4 linked regions of the Saccharomyces cerevisiae S288C genome follow. Changing the gene in region 4 together with the main gene of any one other region gives a genetic interaction. Each region holds a gene or a part of one and is shown on either strand. Other genes may lie near its edges.

Region 1 (4,844 bases), on a different chromosome or scaffold from region 4:
TTATTGTCACAGTGTCACATCAGCGGCAACTCAGAAGTTTGACAGCAAGCAAGTTCATCATTCGAACTAGCCTTATTGTTTTAGTTCAGTGACAGCGAACTGCCGTACTCGATGCTTTATTTCTCACGGTAGAGCGGAAGAACAGATAGGGGCAGCGTGAGAAGAGTTAGAAAGTAAATTTTTATCACGTCTGAAGTATTCTTATTCATAGGAAATTTTGCAAGGTTTTTTAGCTCAATAACGGGCTAAGTTATATAAGGTGTTCACGCGATTTTCTTGTTATGTATACCTCTTCTCTGAGGAATGGTACTACTGTCCTGATGTAGGCTCCTTAAATTGGTGGGCAAGAATAACTTATCGATATTTTGTATATTGGTCTTGGAGTTCACCACGTAATGCCTGTTTAAGACCATCAGTTAACTCTAGTATTATTTGGTCTTGGCTACTGGCCGTTTGCTATTATTCAAGTCTTTTGTGCCTTCCCGTCGGGTAAGGGAGTTATTTAGGGATACAGAATCTAACGAAAACTAAATCTCAATGATTAACTCCATTTAATCCTTTTTTGAAAGGCAAAAGAGGTCCCTTGTTCACTTACAACGTTCTTAGCCAAATTCGCTTATCACTTACTACTTCACGATATACAGAAGTAAAAACATATAAAAAGATGTCTGTTTGTTTAGCCATCACAAAAGGTATCGCAGTTTCTTCTATAGGCCTCTACTCTGGTCTTTTGGCTTCCGCTTCATTGATTACATCTACTACTCCACTAGAGGTTTTAACAGGATCCCTTACTCCCACTTTAACCACTTTGAAAAATGCGGCCACCGCCTTGGGAGCGTTTGCGTCAACTTTCTTTTGTGTGAGCTTTTTCGGCGCTCCTCCCTCATTGAGACACCCCTACTTACTCTATGGTATGCTTGTAGCTCCATTATCTTCATTTGTTCTAGGATGTGCCTCCAACTATCAGTCTAGAAAGTACAGTAAAGTCTCTAAGGAATCTTCTTTATTTCCCGAAGACAGCAAACTCGCTGCTTCCGAACTGAGCGATTCTATTATTGATTTAGGTGAAGACAACCATGCTTCAGAAAATACACCTCGAGACGGGAAGCCTGCAGCAACCACAGTATCAAAGCCGGCAGAGGCATTGCACACCGGTCCCCCAATCCATACTAAAAATCTAATTGCAGCAACTGCTATTGCTATTGTTGGCTTTGTACAAGCCGTTATTGGCGTTTATGGGGAAGGACAATTTATCTAGTGTTTCTCGTTCACGTATTTATCTCTACAAGAATTTGTAGCTGCCTGAACTCGGCTCCTCTCTCTCTCCAAAAATAAAGTGTGTAGTAATTTGCAGTTTTTTTATATATTCCTACGAGTTTTCAAACGTTCAAAAGACAGTATGTTCAAAAATTGTGCATACACACACGTATGCACATATATACATAATAATACACTGTAATAAGCACATTTGTAGGTGCTCTTGCACTTGGTTTATTACTGTCACTGACTTTTCTCACCCGGCCGAGAGTCGTGCGAAAATTCGCATGTTAAAGTGAGAAAATAGAGAAAACAACACAGCTGAAAAAAGTATTGGTAACAGTTCAATACGTGATCAAATATACAGCACGTCGCGCAGAACCAGACGAAGCGGAGAATATTCTACATTGACAGTGCATGATGCCTGATGACAATTCAAACTCGTCCACTCAAAACTCAAGCGCATTATACAAGGACCTGAGGAAAGAATATGAATCTCTTTTCACTTTAAAGGAAGATTCTGGGTTAGAGATTTCACCAATATTCAATGTCCTTCCACCTAAAAAGGATTATCCTGACTACTACGCAGTGATCAAGAACCCTGTATCTTTCAATACTTTAAAAAAGCGTATTCCACATTATACAGATGCTCAACAGTTTATGAACGATGTTGTCCAGATTCCATGGAATGCCAAGACTTACAATACAAGAGATTCAGGAATTTATAAATACGCCTTAGTCCTTGAGAAATATTTAAAGGACACAATCTATCCAAATTTAAAAGAAAAATATCCTCAATTAGTGTATCCTGATTTGGGTCCTCTACCCGATGAACCAGGTTATGAAGAGTTTCAACAGAAATTAAGAGAAAAAGCTGAGGAAGTAGCGAGAGCTAATGCAGCCAGAGCCGAGTCGAGCTCTTCAATGAATTCAACAGAAGCAGCCAGAAGATTAAGAAAGACTCGTACTTCCGTCAAAAGAGAATCAGAACCAGGAACCGATACAAATAATGATGAGGACTATGAGGCGACGGATATGGATATCGATAACCCTAAGGATGCTGATTTTCCTGATTTGATAAGAAAGCCACTAATAAATATTAATCCATATACTCGGAAACCATTAAGAGACAACAGGTCCACTACTCCATCTCACTCAGGCACCCCTCAGCCGTTAGGCCCAAGGCATAGACAGGTATCCAGAACTCAGGTAAAGCGTGGGAGACCCCCAATCATCGACTTACCGTATATTCAAAGAATGAAAAATGTTATGAAAGTACTAAAAAAAGAGGTGCTAGATAGTGGAATTGGTCTAACTGATCTTTTTGAAAGATTGCCCGATAGACACAGAGATGCAAATTACTACATCATGATTGCTAATCCAATTAGTCTTCAAGACATAAATAAAAAGGTAAAGACTCGTCGTTATAAAACGTTCCAGGAGTTCCAGAATGATTTTAATCTTATGTTAACCAACTTTAGAATTTCGCACAGAGGTGATCCTGAAAGCATAAAAATTTCAAATATCTTAGAAAAGACCTTTACTAGTCTGGCAAGATTCGAACTATCCAAACCTGATAGAAGTTTCATTCCAGAAGGCGAGCTAAGATACCCTCTAGATGAAGTCATTGTAAATAATATATCATACCACGTGGGAGATTGGGCACTTCTTCGAAATCAAAATGATCCTCAAAAACCTATAGTGGGCCAAATATTCAGGCTATGGAAGACACCAGATGGGAAACAATGGTTAAACGCTTGTTGGTATTACAGACCCGAACAAACTGTGCATAGAGTGGATAGATTGTTTTACAAAAACGAAGTTATGAAAACAGGTCAGTACCGTGATCATTTAGTGTCAAACTTAGTTGGGAAATGCTATGTGATTCACTTTACTAGATATCAACGTGGTAATCCCGATATGAAATTGGAGGGTCCCTTGTTCGTTTGCGAATTCCGTTATAATGAATCCGATAAAATTTTTAACAAGATTAGAACCTGGAAGGCTTGCTTACCAGAGGAAATTCGTGATTTGGACGAAGCTACCATTCCGGTAAATGGTAGAAAGTTCTTCAAATATCCTTCCCCCATAAGACATCTACTACCAGCTAATGCAACGCCGCATGATCGCGTTCCTGAACCAACGATGGGATCCCCGGACGCGCCACCATTGGTCGGTGCCGTTTATATGAGACCTAAAATGCAGCGTGACGATTTGGGGGAATATGCAACCTCTGATGACTGTCCCAGGTATATTATCAGACCCAACGATTCTCCCGAAGAGGGACAAGTGGATATAGAAACAGGTACGATCACCACAAACACGCCAACAGCAAATGCTCTTCCTAAAACAGGATACTCAAGTAGTAAACTATCCAGTTTAAGATATAACAGGTCATCTATGTCTTTAGAAAACCAAAATGCTATTGGCCAGCAACAAATACCACTGTCAAGAGTTGGTTCCCCTGGCGCGGGAGGCCCGCTTACTGTACAAGGTTTAAAGCAACACCAATTGCAAAGGTTACAACAGCAGCAACATCAATACCAACAACAGAAAAGATCCCAAGCATCACGTTATAATATCCCAACAATAATCGATGATTTAACATCGCAGGCATCAAGAGGTAATTTGGGTAATATAATGATCGATGCAGCCTCCTCGTTTGTCTTACCTATCTCTATAACCAAAAACGTAGATGTTTTGCAGCGTACTGATCTGCACAGCCAAACCAAGAGATCTGGAAGAGAAGAGATGTTTCCATGGAAAAAAACAAAGGGTGAAATATTATGGTTCAGAGGACCTAGTGTGATAGTAAATGAACGAATAATAAATTCAGGTGACCCACACCTAAGCCTGCCACTGAATAGGTGGTTTACCACTAACAAGAAAAGAAAACTAGAATACGAAGAAGTTGAAGAAACCATGGAAGATGTGACTGGAAAGGACAAAGATGATGATGGCTTAGAACCGGATGTTGAAAATGAGAAAGAGTCCTTGCCAGGCCCATTTGTCCTTGGATTAAGACCCTCGGCTAAGTTCACGGCGCACAGACTCTCTATGCTGCGGCCTCCTTCGTCGTCTTCATGATCACCTTTATTGTAAAAGCAATGGCAGCATAATATCTTCCCATTGCGCATTACCCTCCGCGAGCAGAGTCAAACTTCAAACAAAGCAGGAAAATGAAATAAAACAGAAGTTATTATATAGAAGAAAGTCATCTATAGATATATTATCGTTGTATTAATAGTAGCCATATAAAACAATTATACTTCATCACCAACCTCTCAAAATTTCTTCCCCAAGGACCAAAGCTTTTCCAGTAAGTTGCTACAACTAAAGTGAAATAAACTATCCGAATTATATAAAAGATGCCTGACTATGACAATTACACTACGCCATTGTCTTCTAGATATGCCTCCAAGGAAATGTCAGCAACGTTTTCTTTGAGAAACAGATTTTCCACATGGAGAAAACTATGGTTAAATTTGGCTATTGCTGAGAAGGAATTGGGCTTAACTGTTGTTACAGATGAAGCAATTGAGCAAATGCGCAAACACGTCGAAATCACTGATGATGAAATCGCAAAA
Region 2 (7,776 bases), on a different chromosome or scaffold from region 4:
GATGTGGAATGGTTCAAGTCTATCCCACTGTTCACCAAATCAGGTAGGTCAGGTTTCATTAAAGAAAGTTTGGGTACGCATGGTTATTTCAAGGCTACATTTGATGGTAAATTATCTGCGCAGGATGTTGTTGCTATGTCCTTGTACAAACGTATGTGGCCCATGCCTTCGTTACCTTGGAATGGTATGTAAAGTGATAAAAATATACACGTATATATATATATATATATATATATAAGTACGTGAGATCTATTTGTATAATATAATGCTAATAAAATAGTATCAACGATACTGTTGATAAAGGTAAGTCGATACCTGTTCCGTTCGCATCAAATACAAATGCCACTTATTTTGTAGAGGTATTAATGCATTATGTGAAAATTATGACTTTTTATCAAGCAAAATAAATTTGCTACTTGTGCCCTTTTTCTTTCTTTTTTTTTTTATTTGATATGCGTGCCTTTAGCATCCTCCAATTTGATAAAAGTCGGCTTGCTATTAGTCGCTGACAATAAGTTGTAATTGGTGTTAGCTTCATTTTTAATTTTTTTTGAGCCATACAAGCCATCGACATAGTAATTATTTGTAATCTTAGTCTCATAATCGAGTATGATTTTTTCAAAGCTCAATAACGCCTTCTTTAACGCATCGCCTACAGCCTCTTTTTTCGACCTGTTATAACATTCACCTCTCGAGGACAAAGTAATTCTACCTAGCCCACCACACTGTGTGTTGGTGCCATCCTTTAAGGTAACCTTTACTTGGGCTTCTGCCACAACTGTATACTTGACCTCACTAGTGTTGGTGTTTTCTCCATTATTTACTGCGGTGAAGGGCTGGCACTCCCGGGCCTCAACATCTATAACATCCATTCGCCAACCATCATACCCGAATGTTTCATTAGCGAACTGAATGAGAGCATGCCCTGGTATCAGCTTAGATAAGTTGTGCTTCCCATATTTATTATTGTGGTAAATATTGTACGTGTACCTTTCGATCTTGGACTGTAGAAGCCCAATCCTCTGCACCGACCAAGCGCTGGCAGGTCTTCCATTCCAATCTTCGATGATTTGGAACTCTTTTATATCCAAGCCCGGTGCTGTGCCGTATGTAGTCGAATCATACGATATGCTCGAACTGGGCTTCGCTTGTATCGTCATTATTTTGTCTGTTTATCCTGAAATATGCTCTTCTCCTCTACGTAACCCTTTAATGGTCCAAAGCATGTGCTAAACTGCCACAGACTCCCTCAATGATGTTCTTATCCTTCCTTGCCGTTACTGCTTCCTATCATATCTGCCCTTGCCAAACTGTGGCTTCCTCTAATCAATTTGCCCCAGTACATTGAAAAGCACGTGACGTGACACCAACTTGAAAGACATTAGTGTCCAACGCGATATAATGGTCAATAAAATACCCAATTTTATCAAGTGAACATGATATTATTCAATACTATAGTACTTTAAAGAAAACTTCAACAAGTTGCTTCATTGCTATATTATACAATTATGGGTGATGCCGGTCGGCTAACCTTTCTTTCGCAGCGCCACATACAAGAACATATGGTAATTACTAAGAACTTTTTGGAAACTATTTCCATGAAGAAAACAAAATTTACTGGCTTCTGTCTTCGAAGTAAATTTAGCGAACTTGATACTTTCGTTTGGACAGTCGTTTAGATTTGCAACTGTCTGTTCTTATTTCTTGCTATTATTACCAGAAATAAAGCCTAAAGCGCGTGGTTCTTACGAAAAAAATAGACCTTGCACATTAACAGGGTTTAGACATCACAGAGACTGAATACTGGAGAGAAGACAATTCTTGTTCACGACTTCGAGTGATTAATATCTATAACAACCCTCCTATCAAGAATGGACATCATTCAAGGACTGATACAGCAACCAAAAATTCAATCTGTGGATGAAACCATTCCGACGTTGTGCGATCGAGTTGAGAACTCCACTTTGATTAGCGATAGGAGATCCGCTGTGCTGGGATTAAAGGCATTTAGCCGGCAGTATAGAGAATCAGTGATTGCATCCGGGCTAAAACCGTTGCTCAATACTTTGAAACGTGATTATATGGATGAAGATTCGGTAAAGGCTATATTAGAAACAATTTTGATTCTTTTCATCAGAGGCGATGGCCATGACGACTTAACTAGAGGTTGGATTTCTCAACAATCGCGGTTGCAGAATGGCAAGTATCCCTCACCATTGGTGATGAAGCAAGAAAAGGAACAAGTAGATCAGTTCTCGTTATGGATTGCTGATGCTTTGACGCAGTCTGAAGATTTAATTCACCTACTTGTTGAATTTTGGGAAATCGATAATTTCCATATTAGATTGTACACAATTCAATTACTAGAGGCAGTGATGGCCACGAGGCCGTTGAAGGCGAGAAGTGCTTTGATTTCACTTCCAACGAGCATATCCACAATGGTCTCACTCCTAGATGACATGCATGAGCCCATCAGGGATGAAGCTATTTTATTATTAATGGCAGTAGTGAACGATTCACCTCACGTTCAAAAATTGGTTGCTTTTGAAAACATTTTTGAAAGGCTCTTTTCCATCATCGAAGAAGAAGGTGGGTTAAGAGGCTCTCTCGTCGTCAATGATTGTTTATCGTTGATCAATAACATCCTGAAGTATAACACTTCTAATCAAACTTTATTCCTTGAGACAGGAAACTTGCCAAAACTGGCACACCTTTTGAGTGAACCAATATCTCAAGATGAAGTTTTTTTTTGGAATGATCAAAGGATAGTTAATATCAATACAGCTTTAGATATCGTCAGCCTAACAGTAGAGCCAGGAAATACTGTCACCACTAAGCATCAAAATGCGTTGCTTGACTCAAGCGTATTAATGGTTGTGTTGCGACTTGCATTCTTTCATAATATCCCAAAAAAAGTTAGACCGGTTGCTCTTTTGACTGCCGCAAACATGGTTAGAAGTAATGAACATGCACAGCTAGAGTTTAGTAAGATCGATGTTCCATATTTCGATCCTTCATTACCTGTAAACTCTACTGCAAACGGTGGTCCAATTAAATTAATTCCTGTAGTCAGCATCTTGATAAATTGGATGCTCTATGCCAACTCCGTTCACACGTTTGATACAAGAGTTGCGTGTTCTAGACTATTAAAGGCTTATTTCATGGATAATTTTGATCTTCAAAGAGATTTTTTACTAAAACAAGTCCAATTGTGTAATAATTCAACAAATAATGTCGGCGACAATGCTAAAGAAAATGGTGGTTCTAACAAATCTGATAAAGAAAGTGATTCAGATAAAGATACCGACGGGAAGGATGGCACTGAATATGAAGGTTCTTTCAAGGCAAATCTATTCGAAGTCCTGTTAAATTATGACGCAGAATTGAATCTGAACCCTTTTAAATTATTCTTCACAACTGATATTTTTATGTTTTTTTTCCAACAGGATCACAAATATAGCGAAGAACTACGTGAAATAACAAGAAATGTTACCACCGGTAACGATCTCGAAGACGAAGAACCCTTAAAGGCAATTCAAACAATAAGTGAATTGCTAACTACTTCCCTTACTGCTGCTGACATAAGAATTCCTATTTCCTACTTAACGTTCCTAATATATTGGCTCTTTGGCGACTTTAAGGCCACGAACGATTTTCTTTCGGATAAATCCGTGATTAAATCCTTGCTTTCCTTCTCTTACCAAATTCAAGATGAAGACGTTACTATCAAATGCCTTGTAACAATGTTACTAGGTGTGGCATACGAGTTTTCCTCGAAAGAATCTCCATTCCCAAGAAAGGAATACTTCGAATTCATCACTAAAACTTTGGGAAAAGACAATTATGCTTCTCGAATCAAACAATTTAAAAAAGATTCATATTTCTCAAAAGTTGATATGAATGAAGACAGTATACTAACTCCGGAGCTTGATGAAACTGGTTTACCAAAAGTTTATTTCAGCACTTACTTCATACAGTTATTTAATGAAAACATATACAGGATCAGAACTGCATTGTCTCACGACCCTGACGAAGAGCCAATCAATAAAATATCTTTCGAAGAAGTCGAAAAATTACAGAGGCAATGTACAAAATTGAAGGGTGAGATAACTTCTTTGCAAACAGAAACGGAAAGCACCCATGAGAACCTCACCGAAAAATTGATTGCGTTGACTAATGAACACAAAGAGTTGGATGAGAAATACCAAATTTTGAATTCCTCACATTCTTCGTTGAAAGAAAACTTTTCCATTTTGGAAACTGAATTGAAGAACGTCAGAGATTCCTTGGATGAAATGACGCAACTGAGAGATGTACTGGAAACTAAGGACAAAGAAAATCAAACTGCTTTACTGGAGTACAAAAGCACAATCCACAAACAAGAAGACTCTATCAAAACTTTAGAAAAAGGACTTGAAACTATTTTGTCTCAAAAGAAAAAGGCAGAAGATGGTATAAACAAAATGGGTAAAGATTTATTCGCTCTGAGTAGAGAGATGCAAGCAGTTGAGGAGAATTGTAAAAATTTACAGAAGGAAAAAGATAAAAGCAATGTCAACCATCAGAAAGAGACTAAATCACTAAAAGAAGATATTGCGGCAAAAATTACTGAAATAAAAGCTATCAATGAAAATCTGGAAGAAATGAAAATTCAATGTAATAATTTATCAAAAGAAAAGGAACATATTTCGAAGGAACTTGTTGAGTACAAATCCCGCTTTCAGAGTCATGACAATCTAGTAGCGAAACTAACAGAAAAATTGAAATCCTTAGCAAATAACTATAAGGATATGCAAGCTGAAAATGAGTCTCTAATAAAAGCTGTAGAAGAGTCAAAAAACGAAAGCAGCATACAATTGTCTAATTTGCAAAATAAAATTGATTCTATGTCACAGGAAAAAGAAAATTTTCAAATAGAAAGAGGCAGTATAGAAAAAAATATCGAACAACTAAAAAAAACCATCTCTGACTTAGAACAAACGAAGGAGGAAATTATCTCAAAATCCGATTCTTCAAAAGATGAATATGAGTCCCAGATTAGTCTCTTGAAAGAAAAATTAGAAACGGCGACAACAGCAAACGATGAAAACGTGAATAAAATCTCAGAATTGACTAAAACTAGGGAAGAGCTGGAAGCCGAGTTAGCAGCTTATAAAAATCTCAAAAATGAACTTGAAACAAAACTAGAAACTTCAGAGAAAGCTTTGAAAGAAGTTAAAGAAAACGAGGAGCATTTAAAAGAAGAGAAAATTCAACTCGAGAAGGAGGCCACTGAAACCAAACAGCAACTCAACAGCCTACGTGCCAATTTAGAATCATTAGAAAAAGAGCATGAAGATTTAGCAGCTCAGTTGAAGAAGTACGAGGAGCAAATTGCCAACAAGGAAAGGCAATATAACGAGGAAATATCTCAATTAAATGATGAGATTACTTCCACTCAACAAGAAAATGAATCAATTAAGAAAAAAAATGACGAACTGGAGGGCGAAGTTAAAGCAATGAAGAGCACTTCAGAGGAACAATCAAATTTGAAAAAGTCAGAGATTGATGCCTTAAATTTGCAAATTAAAGAGCTGAAAAAGAAGAACGAAACGAACGAAGCCAGTTTATTGGAGTCAATCAAAAGTGTAGAATCAGAAACGGTAAAAATTAAAGAATTACAAGACGAATGTAACTTTAAAGAAAAGGAAGTTAGTGAATTGGAAGACAAACTCAAGGCCTCAGAAGATAAGAACTCTAAATATTTGGAGCTACAGAAGGAATCGGAGAAGATAAAAGAAGAACTAGATGCTAAAACGACTGAACTAAAAATTCAATTGGAAAAGATCACTAATTTATCTAAGGCCAAGGAGAAATCAGAATCTGAGTTGTCTAGATTGAAGAAGACATCTTCTGAGGAAAGAAAAAATGCAGAGGAGCAATTGGAAAAATTGAAAAATGAAATACAAATCAAAAATCAGGCCTTCGAAAAGGAAAGAAAGCTACTTAATGAAGGATCTTCAACAATTACACAAGAATATTCTGAAAAGATCAATACTTTGGAAGATGAATTAATTAGGCTACAAAATGAAAACGAATTAAAAGCCAAAGAGATCGATAATACGAGGAGTGAACTAGAGAAGGTTAGTTTAAGCAATGATGAGCTTTTAGAAGAGAAACAAAACACAATAAAAAGCTTACAAGATGAAATTCTTTCATATAAAGACAAAATAACTAGAAATGACGAAAAGCTTCTATCAATAGAGCGAGATAATAAACGAGACCTGGAGAGCTTGAAAGAACAACTCCGGGCTGCACAAGAATCCAAAGCTAAAGTTGAAGAAGGGCTGAAAAAACTTGAGGAAGAATCTTCAAAAGAGAAAGCAGAGCTTGAAAAGTCTAAAGAAATGATGAAAAAGCTAGAGAGTACGATTGAGAGCAATGAAACGGAGTTGAAATCCTCAATGGAAACCATAAGGAAATCAGATGAAAAATTAGAACAGTCGAAAAAAAGTGCTGAGGAGGATATTAAAAACTTGCAACATGAGAAGTCAGATTTGATATCCCGAATCAACGAATCTGAAAAGGATATTGAAGAACTGAAAAGTAAACTGAGGATCGAAGCAAAATCTGGCTCTGAACTAGAAACCGTAAAACAAGAGCTAAATAACGCACAAGAAAAAATAAGGATCAACGCAGAAGAAAATACAGTTTTGAAATCTAAATTAGAAGATATAGAACGTGAACTCAAAGACAAGCAAGCCGAAATAAAAAGTAATCAAGAAGAAAAAGAATTACTAACTTCGCGCCTCAAGGAATTAGAACAGGAATTAGATAGCACCCAACAGAAGGCACAAAAATCCGAGGAAGAACGTAGGGCCGAAGTCAGGAAGTTTCAAGTCGAAAAGTCTCAACTTGATGAAAAAGCCATGTTGCTTGAAACTAAATACAACGATTTGGTGAATAAAGAGCAAGCATGGAAAAGGGATGAAGATACTGTTAAAAAGACAACCGATTCTCAGAGACAAGAAATTGAAAAGTTGGCTAAAGAACTGGATAACTTGAAGGCAGAGAACTCTAAGTTGAAGGAAGCTAACGAAGATCGTTCGGAAATTGATGACTTGATGCTCTTGGTTACTGACCTAGATGAGAAAAACGCCAAATATCGCTCAAAGCTGAAGGATTTGGGCGTTGAAATTAGTTCGGATGAAGAGGATGATGAAGAAGATGATGAAGAAGACGAGGAAGAAGGGCAAGTGGCATGATAGAGTTAAAATATGTGCATAAACAAATCGCTTGAACGATCTGTTTGATTATGTGGGCAGCACTACTTTTTTGTAATTATATATGCATATATACATTTTACTGACACTAAATGTTATATTTTCTATAACATCTAACATTACTTCACGCCTTCTAATTAAAGTATAGTTTGTGCAAACAATATGTGAGCTCACGTAGACAATTGTCTAATATATCATTAATGTCCCTTGCATAGAACTTCCTTTTTTTTTCTCAGCGTCGCAATATCTCTGTCGAGAAACGCTTACGCATTATAATAAGCCAAGGAAAAATAGCGAAAAGCCGATGCAGATCTACAGGAGTGATGAAAGTACTAAAAAGATCAGAAAAGGGAATATTTGTCAAATAACCAAGTCGAAATGGAAAAAAAACATGTCACTGTGCAAATACAAAGTGCTCCCCCCTCCTATATCAAATTGGAAGCAAATGAAAAATTCGTATATATTACAAGTACAATGAACGGCTTATCTTATCAAATTGCGGCTATAGTTTCAT
Region 3 (3,125 bases), on a different chromosome or scaffold from region 4:
TGTCCATAAGGTCGAGTGCGTTAGATGCCGGTTGAGGTGGTGGAGGTGGAGGCAATGGCGGTTTTAGGTGTGGAGACTTGGGCTTTGGGGGCAGTGGGGGAGTATTCTGCTCCTGCTGGAGCTGCGTATTGGGCTTAGGGGGTAGACTGGGCGCCTGATCTTGTGGCGGCTCGTGTAAGAGACTCATTAATTCTTGTACGACCATTATAAGGTTCATCGCGGCAGGATCCCAGCAGTGGAGTATGGGCAGCGCAATCCACCCATTGGAGTCGATGTATTCTTGAATGGGCAAGGAACTACTGATGGTGTTCATGTCGAAATTTTCCAAGTTTATACTTATAAAGGGAGGTTTTACCGGGTACATACTGGGTACCCACATGATCACAGGAATACTGTGAGGAGATGAACCATCCTCACCAGTACTAATGGTACCATATATGGACAACAGTAGTTGTGGAGTGCCGTCAGAGTGCGTAAATACCCTTGTTCTTGGCCTTAAACTGTGAAAATTGTCCAGCAGCGCTAAAGAATCGTGGAAAGTTGTTCTTCCGTCGTTATAAATGGGTTGAATGACTTTGAACAGCCAATTGACCACCGCCTCGGGAACAGAGATCTTGCCGTTTGCAGACATCGTTGCTCTTCACTCTCTCTCTTTTCTTGGCCGTTAAGATACCAACTGCCCACAAAATTTTGCCGTAACTTTTTATTCTCGCTCTGTGAAAAAAGACTACTACATTTTTTGACCTTTTATCTATACTTTAAGAAACAAAGGTCCAACGAATAATAAAGAACAAAGAGTAATGAGTAGTTTGTATGTGTCATAATCTCTTCTCTCCGCTTCCCTTTTCTTCCTTCTTCTTCTACTAACTCTCTGCGCGTCCAATTTAGCTATACTGTTGTTGGTGTATTCATAGTGGTTAGTGCCATGTCCGTGCTGTTCTGGATAATGGCTCCAAAGAACAACCAAGCGTATGTGCAACATTTTTTTTACGATGTGTCTCCATATTACTAGTTTCCCTTTCTTTTTTACTAACAAGAGTTTGTTTGTTTTGTTTTGTCGTACAGTGTTTGGAGAAGTACAGTGATTTTGACATTGGCCATGATGTTTTTGATGTGGGCCATTACGTTCCTTTGCCAGCTCCATCCCTTGGTGGCTCCACGCCGTTCAGATTTGAGACCTGAATTTGCAGAATAAAGCGTCGAGTATATCAAGCCAAGTGACGTTTCCTGAGTATAAGAAAAATAAGCAAAATAAGTATACATAAAAATAAATACGAATAGAAATATAGTGGCATCTAAACAACCCAGAGATTTTTTGAAAAACACAATGAGTATATACTGATAGACAACCACACGGTCTTTGAAACGAGACGCCGTCTACGGTTGTATCAAAATGTGTAAACGGGCCATTTCAAAGCTTGATCTTCTCCATAATTAGAACCCATGTCCCGTGGAAGCGTTTTAAAAGACATGAGGCAGAAACAGGAGTGTGATATCCTTGCATGCGCAAGTTGGTAATACACTGCACAAAACACGCGTGTGCACATACACTTATGTGGTTCACCGTGCCGCTGCTGTGTTTATCTGTTGCTCGACATGTGCTGCTAATGATTATGTTGGAATAGACAAACAATTTAAAGTAATTTCTTCTTTTTTTATAGTGAGAAATCTCAAAAGAAAAAAAAAAAAATAAAAAAAACTAAAGAGCTGCCGGGTGAGCAACGACTAAAAGAAGAAACCATTTAGGGCTTCATCAGCAACTGTAGGAGGAGAAAGCAGGTATATAACTAGCCGCAATATGTTTGTGGTGGATTGGAGCGTGCAGCTATGCATGGGAGTGATTTCACCTCTCTTCCGTGCCCTCGTGCAACTGCCTTTATCAATTTTCGTATGGAATGGGTTTCAGCTTGTGGCATTGCCTATCAACATCCCATTGAGGTTGTTCCTGGGGACGTCGCTGAGCCGTTTAGTTGCACAAACAAGCACATTAGACTTCTATGTGGTTTTGACGTTGTTTCAATATTTTGCTGTGCTTTGTGCTTTTGGCAGCATCATAGGACTCATCTTTGGATTTATATTGGGTGTGTTCCACTCAATCTGCGGGGTACCCAGTGTATACATAAGTCTAGAATGGAAACGGTGGTTTGCTCCGATACGTACGGTCCTTGAACGTGCTTCCACTAGTATTGTCAACATTATGCGAGGACAAACTATTGCGCCAATACCCATGCCTAAGCCCAATCCCACGCATATATCAAAGCCTAACATGAAAAAATTCCATGATGAGCCTGGAGCTGATGATATGACTATAACGCATGATGTGAACTGCTACATCACCCCTTGCCAAACGCCTACTAACGAAAAAATTCAGCATTATAATAATGATTCATTCAACACGACCACCACAGACGATGAACCCACTGATATTTGGGATAGGTCTGACACTTACCAAAACTCATTCGTCACCAATGAAACTTTGATGTCTCTTTCTAATAGAGCTAAGCTTCGAAGAAATGCCAGTGATGCGGACATCGTTAATATAAAGATTTTACGAAGGAATTCTAGGTGATATTGCAATTACTTCTTCTCATGCACTAACAAGTGAATGATAGAAATATGTTGAGTTCCTAACTGCCTGATTTTAAATAAGTTTCATATTATAATCTTTTAGCATATATATATATATATTGATCCTCTCTCTTCTTTATTTTCTGCCAGTAACCCATGTGTGAAGAAGAAAACATAAATAAAAAAGCAGTAGCACATGGACACATTCACGCCCGAACACTCCTAAAAAGCAGCCCACACAAGAAAGTAGATATAATGTAGGACACCCAGCTTGTCCATAATTGCTAATAGCATACTCAGGATAACATATATTAATGACGACTCGTTTGCTCCAACTCACTCGTCCTCATTACAGATTATTATCCCTACCTCTCCAGAAACCCTTCAATATAAAAAGGCAGATGTCCGCTGCGAACCCTTCTCCATTTGGCAATTATTTGAACACGATCACTAAGTCCCTACAACAGAATTTACAAACATGCTTTCATTTCCAAGCAAAAGAAATCGATATAATCGAATCTCCATCTCAGTTTTACGATCTCTTGAAGACAAAAATA
Region 4 (3,749 bases):
TTTTTTGTGTGGAAAAGCGGGCGGTCAAAGTTTTTTGTTTATCTGCCTTTATTTAAAGAGGAGGAGCAACTATAGATTTGGGGAGTTGTTATTTATGGGCACCTGATAATGCTTGGCAGCGAGGGAAGCAATTATAATACAACTAAAGCAACATGGCACCCAAGAAATCCACTACCAAGACCACAAGTAAGGGCAAGAAGCCTGCAACCAGCAAAGGCAAGGAGAAATCAACTTCCAAGGCCGCTATCAAGAAAACCACGGCAAAAAAGGAGGAAGCTTCCTCCAAGAGTTACAGGGAGTTGATCATTGAAGGGCTCACGGCTTTGAAGGAACGTAAGGGATCCAGTCGTCCGGCACTCAAGAAGTTTATCAAGGAAAACTACCCGATCGTCGGATCCGCAAGCAACTTTGATTTGTACTTCAACAATGCCATAAAGAAGGGTGTGGAGGCCGGCGATTTTGAACAGCCAAAGGGACCCGCTGGTGCTGTGAAACTGGCCAAGAAGAAATCTCCAGAAGTAAAGAAAGAAAAAGAGGTCAGTCCAAAACCCAAGCAAGCCGCCACTTCTGTGAGTGCAACCGCATCAAAAGCGAAAGCCGCATCCACGAAGCTAGCGCCAAAGAAAGTAGTGAAAAAAAAATCGCCTACTGTTACCGCCAAGAAGGCCTCTTCGCCTTCTTCATTGACCTACAAGGAAATGATCCTTAAAAGCATGCCTCAACTTAATGACGGTAAGGGCTCCAGCCGTATCGTTTTAAAGAAGTATGTCAAGGACACTTTCTCCTCCAAGTTGAAAACAAGCTCAAATTTTGACTATCTGTTCAATAGCGCTATCAAGAAATGTGTTGAAAACGGCGAGTTAGTGCAACCAAAGGGCCCCTCCGGCATTATTAAACTAAACAAGAAGAAGGTCAAACTCTCCACGTAAAAAGTGAATATCCAAACGAGAATGTCAATGGTGATAGCAATACTATCAAACCTATTTTCTTTCTTCATTTTTGTGTCCCATCACTATTAGTATTTTGTATTATTTCTAAATTTTTTTCTCTCTAATTTTCAATCTTATTCAAGTGTTTGTTGGCGGTACTGTAAATTTTCATTTTTTAATCTCTCCCTTCTCTATTTGTTACTTATTCGGTAAATATCTCCTTTATGATTTTATTCAAATTCCATTCTTAACTAACTAACTATACTGTTTATAAATTTCTCTTCTCTTATATATGCAAGGTACAGTGTGTAAAATTAATTATTGTATTTGAAGAAAAGGCTTTAAAATCTGAACATTTGAAGCCCTAATATTCTGCACCGTGCCCTATTAATTTTCGCCCCTTTCCGTAGAAGCCCGGCGAGACCTCATTCCGACTAATTTTCCTCAATGCTTTGCCCTTCCTTGTAAACATTATAATAAACAATCATCTCAATATTGGCGTTTTGCTCCTATATCCTTGCCAACATTTAAGATTGTGGCTGTCCCATCTGCGACAGAAATCATTTTACATTAGTTTTTCTTTACTCACTTCTTTCCCCATTTGTCATGGATTCGCAAGTGCCCAATAATAACGAAAGCTTAAACCGCTTCAATGACATCATCCAAAGCCTGCCTGCAAGAACTAGGTTGACCATATGCTCATTATGTCTGCTGGACAATATCTCCACTCAACTACTGAGGTTTCTTATCCTTAATGCCAACTCTCCCAATATTATAGCGGTTTTGACGGACCAGACGGCTTTCCTAAGCTCAGGCGAAACAGAAATTTTTCAAACGTTAGTCAAGCTCTTTAAGCAGATCAGAATGATTTACCACACCAGATCTCCGTTACTGTCTGTTCACGACGTGGCGCCTGGTTTATGGTTTCCCAACTCCCCTCCCCCCCTTATATTGAGAGGCCACGAAGCGTTTATTATTACTGCCATAAGAAAGGCGAATCTGCTAACATTTCTATTGACGTCGCTGAACTGCCTTAATTACGGGTTTGAGCTGCTACAGTCGATATTTCTCGATATTTTCTGTCCAAATACAAACACTGTCGGTAACAACTCCCTGGAACAAAGCGGAAAGTTTTTGAAATCGCAGGCTATCCTATATCTTGATCTGAAAACACAGGCTTACATTGCCGGCTTGAAAGAGTTTCAGGACGAGACGAACGAAATTTCTTTAGAAAAGAAACAAGAGCTACTAGACTTAATCTTCCCATCCAATCTGGCTGATATTCTCGTGCAGAGAAGAACCGGCGATTCTGGAGACATTACACTTTTGACTCCATCGGAGAAGGACTTCGTCGAAAGGTGCGATCGTCGGAGAGAAAATTTAAAGATCGTCCAAGATTTTAACTCTCTGACCCAGAGCTACGAATGGGCTCAATTTATCAGAGAGTTGCTGGATTATTGTAATAAAAATATGGGTCTCATCATATGGGGCAGAAAGGGTCGCGGAAAATCACCATTATATGACTTTGATGTCAACGAGTTTGATCCTCAAGTACTCTTTTCTACAGGGACCAGGACCGTAGAATTCATGGACGACCAAAATCAGCCAAGCAGTGCGTCTGCTTTTTTGTCAACTGCTCGTCCGAATCATTACAGCACACATACACCTACCACAGATGTGTCTTCCAAAAACCCCGCTATCACACAATCCATTGTGGATGCCGCTGTTGCGGCCTCGATGAGCAACAGCAGCTCTGGTCCTCATTCCTCTCATAACAACAGCAGTAACAGCAACAATAATGGTAGTATCGGATTAAGAAAACCAAAGGCGAAAAGAACTTGGTCCAAAGAGGAAGAAGAAGCATTAGTGGAAGGCCTGAAAGAGGTTGGCCCATCGTGGTCTAAGATTCTAGATTTATATGGTCCCGGTGGTAAAATCACGGAAAATTTGAAGAACAGGACGCAGGTACAACTGAAAGATAAAGCCCGTAATTGGAAATTACAATACTTGAAGAGTGGCAAACCATTGCCTGACTATTTGATAAAAGTGACCGGTAACTTGGAGAAAATCTACAAGGCAAAGAAAAAATTCTCTCAATCTCCAAATTCGTCAACTATTATGGAACAAAATTTATCTCAGCATCCTTCATCAGCTGCATCTGCTACTGAAGACACTCAAACTCATCAAGAGGATTCACATGGGCAAAATAGTGATAATATGCCATCTAACGGACTTTTTGGCAATAGTACATCGGACAATACAGGTTTTGATCCTCATTTAGAAGATGGGATGTAGCGCGCTTAAATGAACAGACTTCTAATTTTCTATTGAACCACTCACTATTAAAAATACTTTGATGGGTTGTTAACTTCGCATTGTTTGGTTCCCTAGGTATATTCTTTTGACGTGGTCACCCTATCTTCTAGCAACCTGGTCCCCTCGTGTTTTTCTTTTTATTCTTTTTTCTTTTCCATTTTCTATTACATTGGAATGTATATATTTGATGTTCTCATTTTCTAAAATGAAAACTGTTGTATAATTACTTAAAATCCAAGATAAAAATGTGTTGTAATAATATGTGTTTGGTAAGGTGTCGCGGTTATTGGAATAAAGTTTATATAAGACAAAATATCAACGTGTTTTATTTATACAAACATAAAAGCGCGCATTTAACGCCCTTTTACCTTTTATTACTCGGTATTTTTCTTAACGTAGTCCCATAGACTTTTCAATAATCCCTCAGGTAAACTATACAAGTCAATTATAAATTCACCCTCTTCAACATTATTCGTCACGTTCATTTCTGGTGTTTTATTGTCG

Evidence for each region.
Region 1: mutations in TBF1 (region 4) and RSC2 impair growth when combined (synthetic growth defect), as found in Saccharomyces cerevisiae (one study listed by BioGRID).
Region 2: mutations in TBF1 (region 4) and USO1 together harm fitness more than expected from each alone (negative genetic interaction), as found in Saccharomyces cerevisiae (2 studies listed by BioGRID).
Region 3: mutations in TBF1 (region 4) and LDB16 together harm fitness more than expected from each alone (negative genetic interaction), as found in Saccharomyces cerevisiae (2 studies listed by BioGRID).

Annotation. Positions count from the first base shown.
Region 1 is NC_001144.5:839,657-844,500, forward strand, and holds RSC2 (Rsc2p), read left to right. Parts: upstream 1-1,674; coding exon 1,675-4,344; downstream 4,345-4,844. Other genes in the region: ATG33 (Atg33p), read left to right, coding at 665-1,258; YLR358C (uncharacterized protein), read right to left, coding at 3,831-4,394; adenylosuccinase ADE13, read left to right, coding at 4,626-4,844. UniProt on the Saccharomyces cerevisiae protein: Component of the chromatin structure remodeling complex (RSC), which is involved in transcription regulation and nucleosome positioning. RSC is responsible for the transfer of a histone octamer from a nucleosome core particle to naked DNA.
Region 2 is NC_001136.10:343,794-351,569, forward strand, and holds USO1 (Uso1p), read left to right. Parts: upstream 1-1,871; coding exon 1,872-7,244; downstream 7,245-7,776. Other genes in the region: small subunit rRNA maturation protein TSR1, read left to right, coding at 1-192; RAD59 (Rad59p), read right to left, coding at 444-1,160; YDL057W (uncharacterized protein), read left to right, coding at 7,641-7,776. UniProt on the Saccharomyces cerevisiae protein: Required for protein transport from the ER to the Golgi complex.
Region 3 is NC_001135.5:106,223-109,347, forward strand, and holds LDB16 (Ldb16p), read left to right. Parts: upstream 1-1,798; coding exon 1,799-2,569; downstream 2,570-3,125. Other genes in the region: ubiquitin-binding ESCRT-I subunit protein STP22, read right to left, coding at 1-631; VMA9 (H(+)-transporting V0 sector ATPase subunit e), read left to right, coding at 801-811, 889-969, 1,066-1,195; PGS1 (CDP-diacylglycerol--glycerol-3-phosphate 3-phosphatidyltransferase), read left to right, coding at 2,883-3,125.
Region 4 is NC_001148.4:306,008-309,756, reverse strand, and holds TBF1 (Tbf1p), read left to right. Parts: upstream 1-1,535; coding exon 1,536-3,224; downstream 3,225-3,749. Other genes in the region: HHO1 (histone H1), read left to right, coding at 153-929; TATA-binding protein-associated factor TAF14, read right to left, coding at 3,620-3,749. UniProt on the Saccharomyces cerevisiae protein: Binds the telomeric double-stranded TTAGGG repeat and negatively regulates telomere length. Involved in the regulation of gene expression. 52 binding sites have been identified, distributed over 15 chromosomes.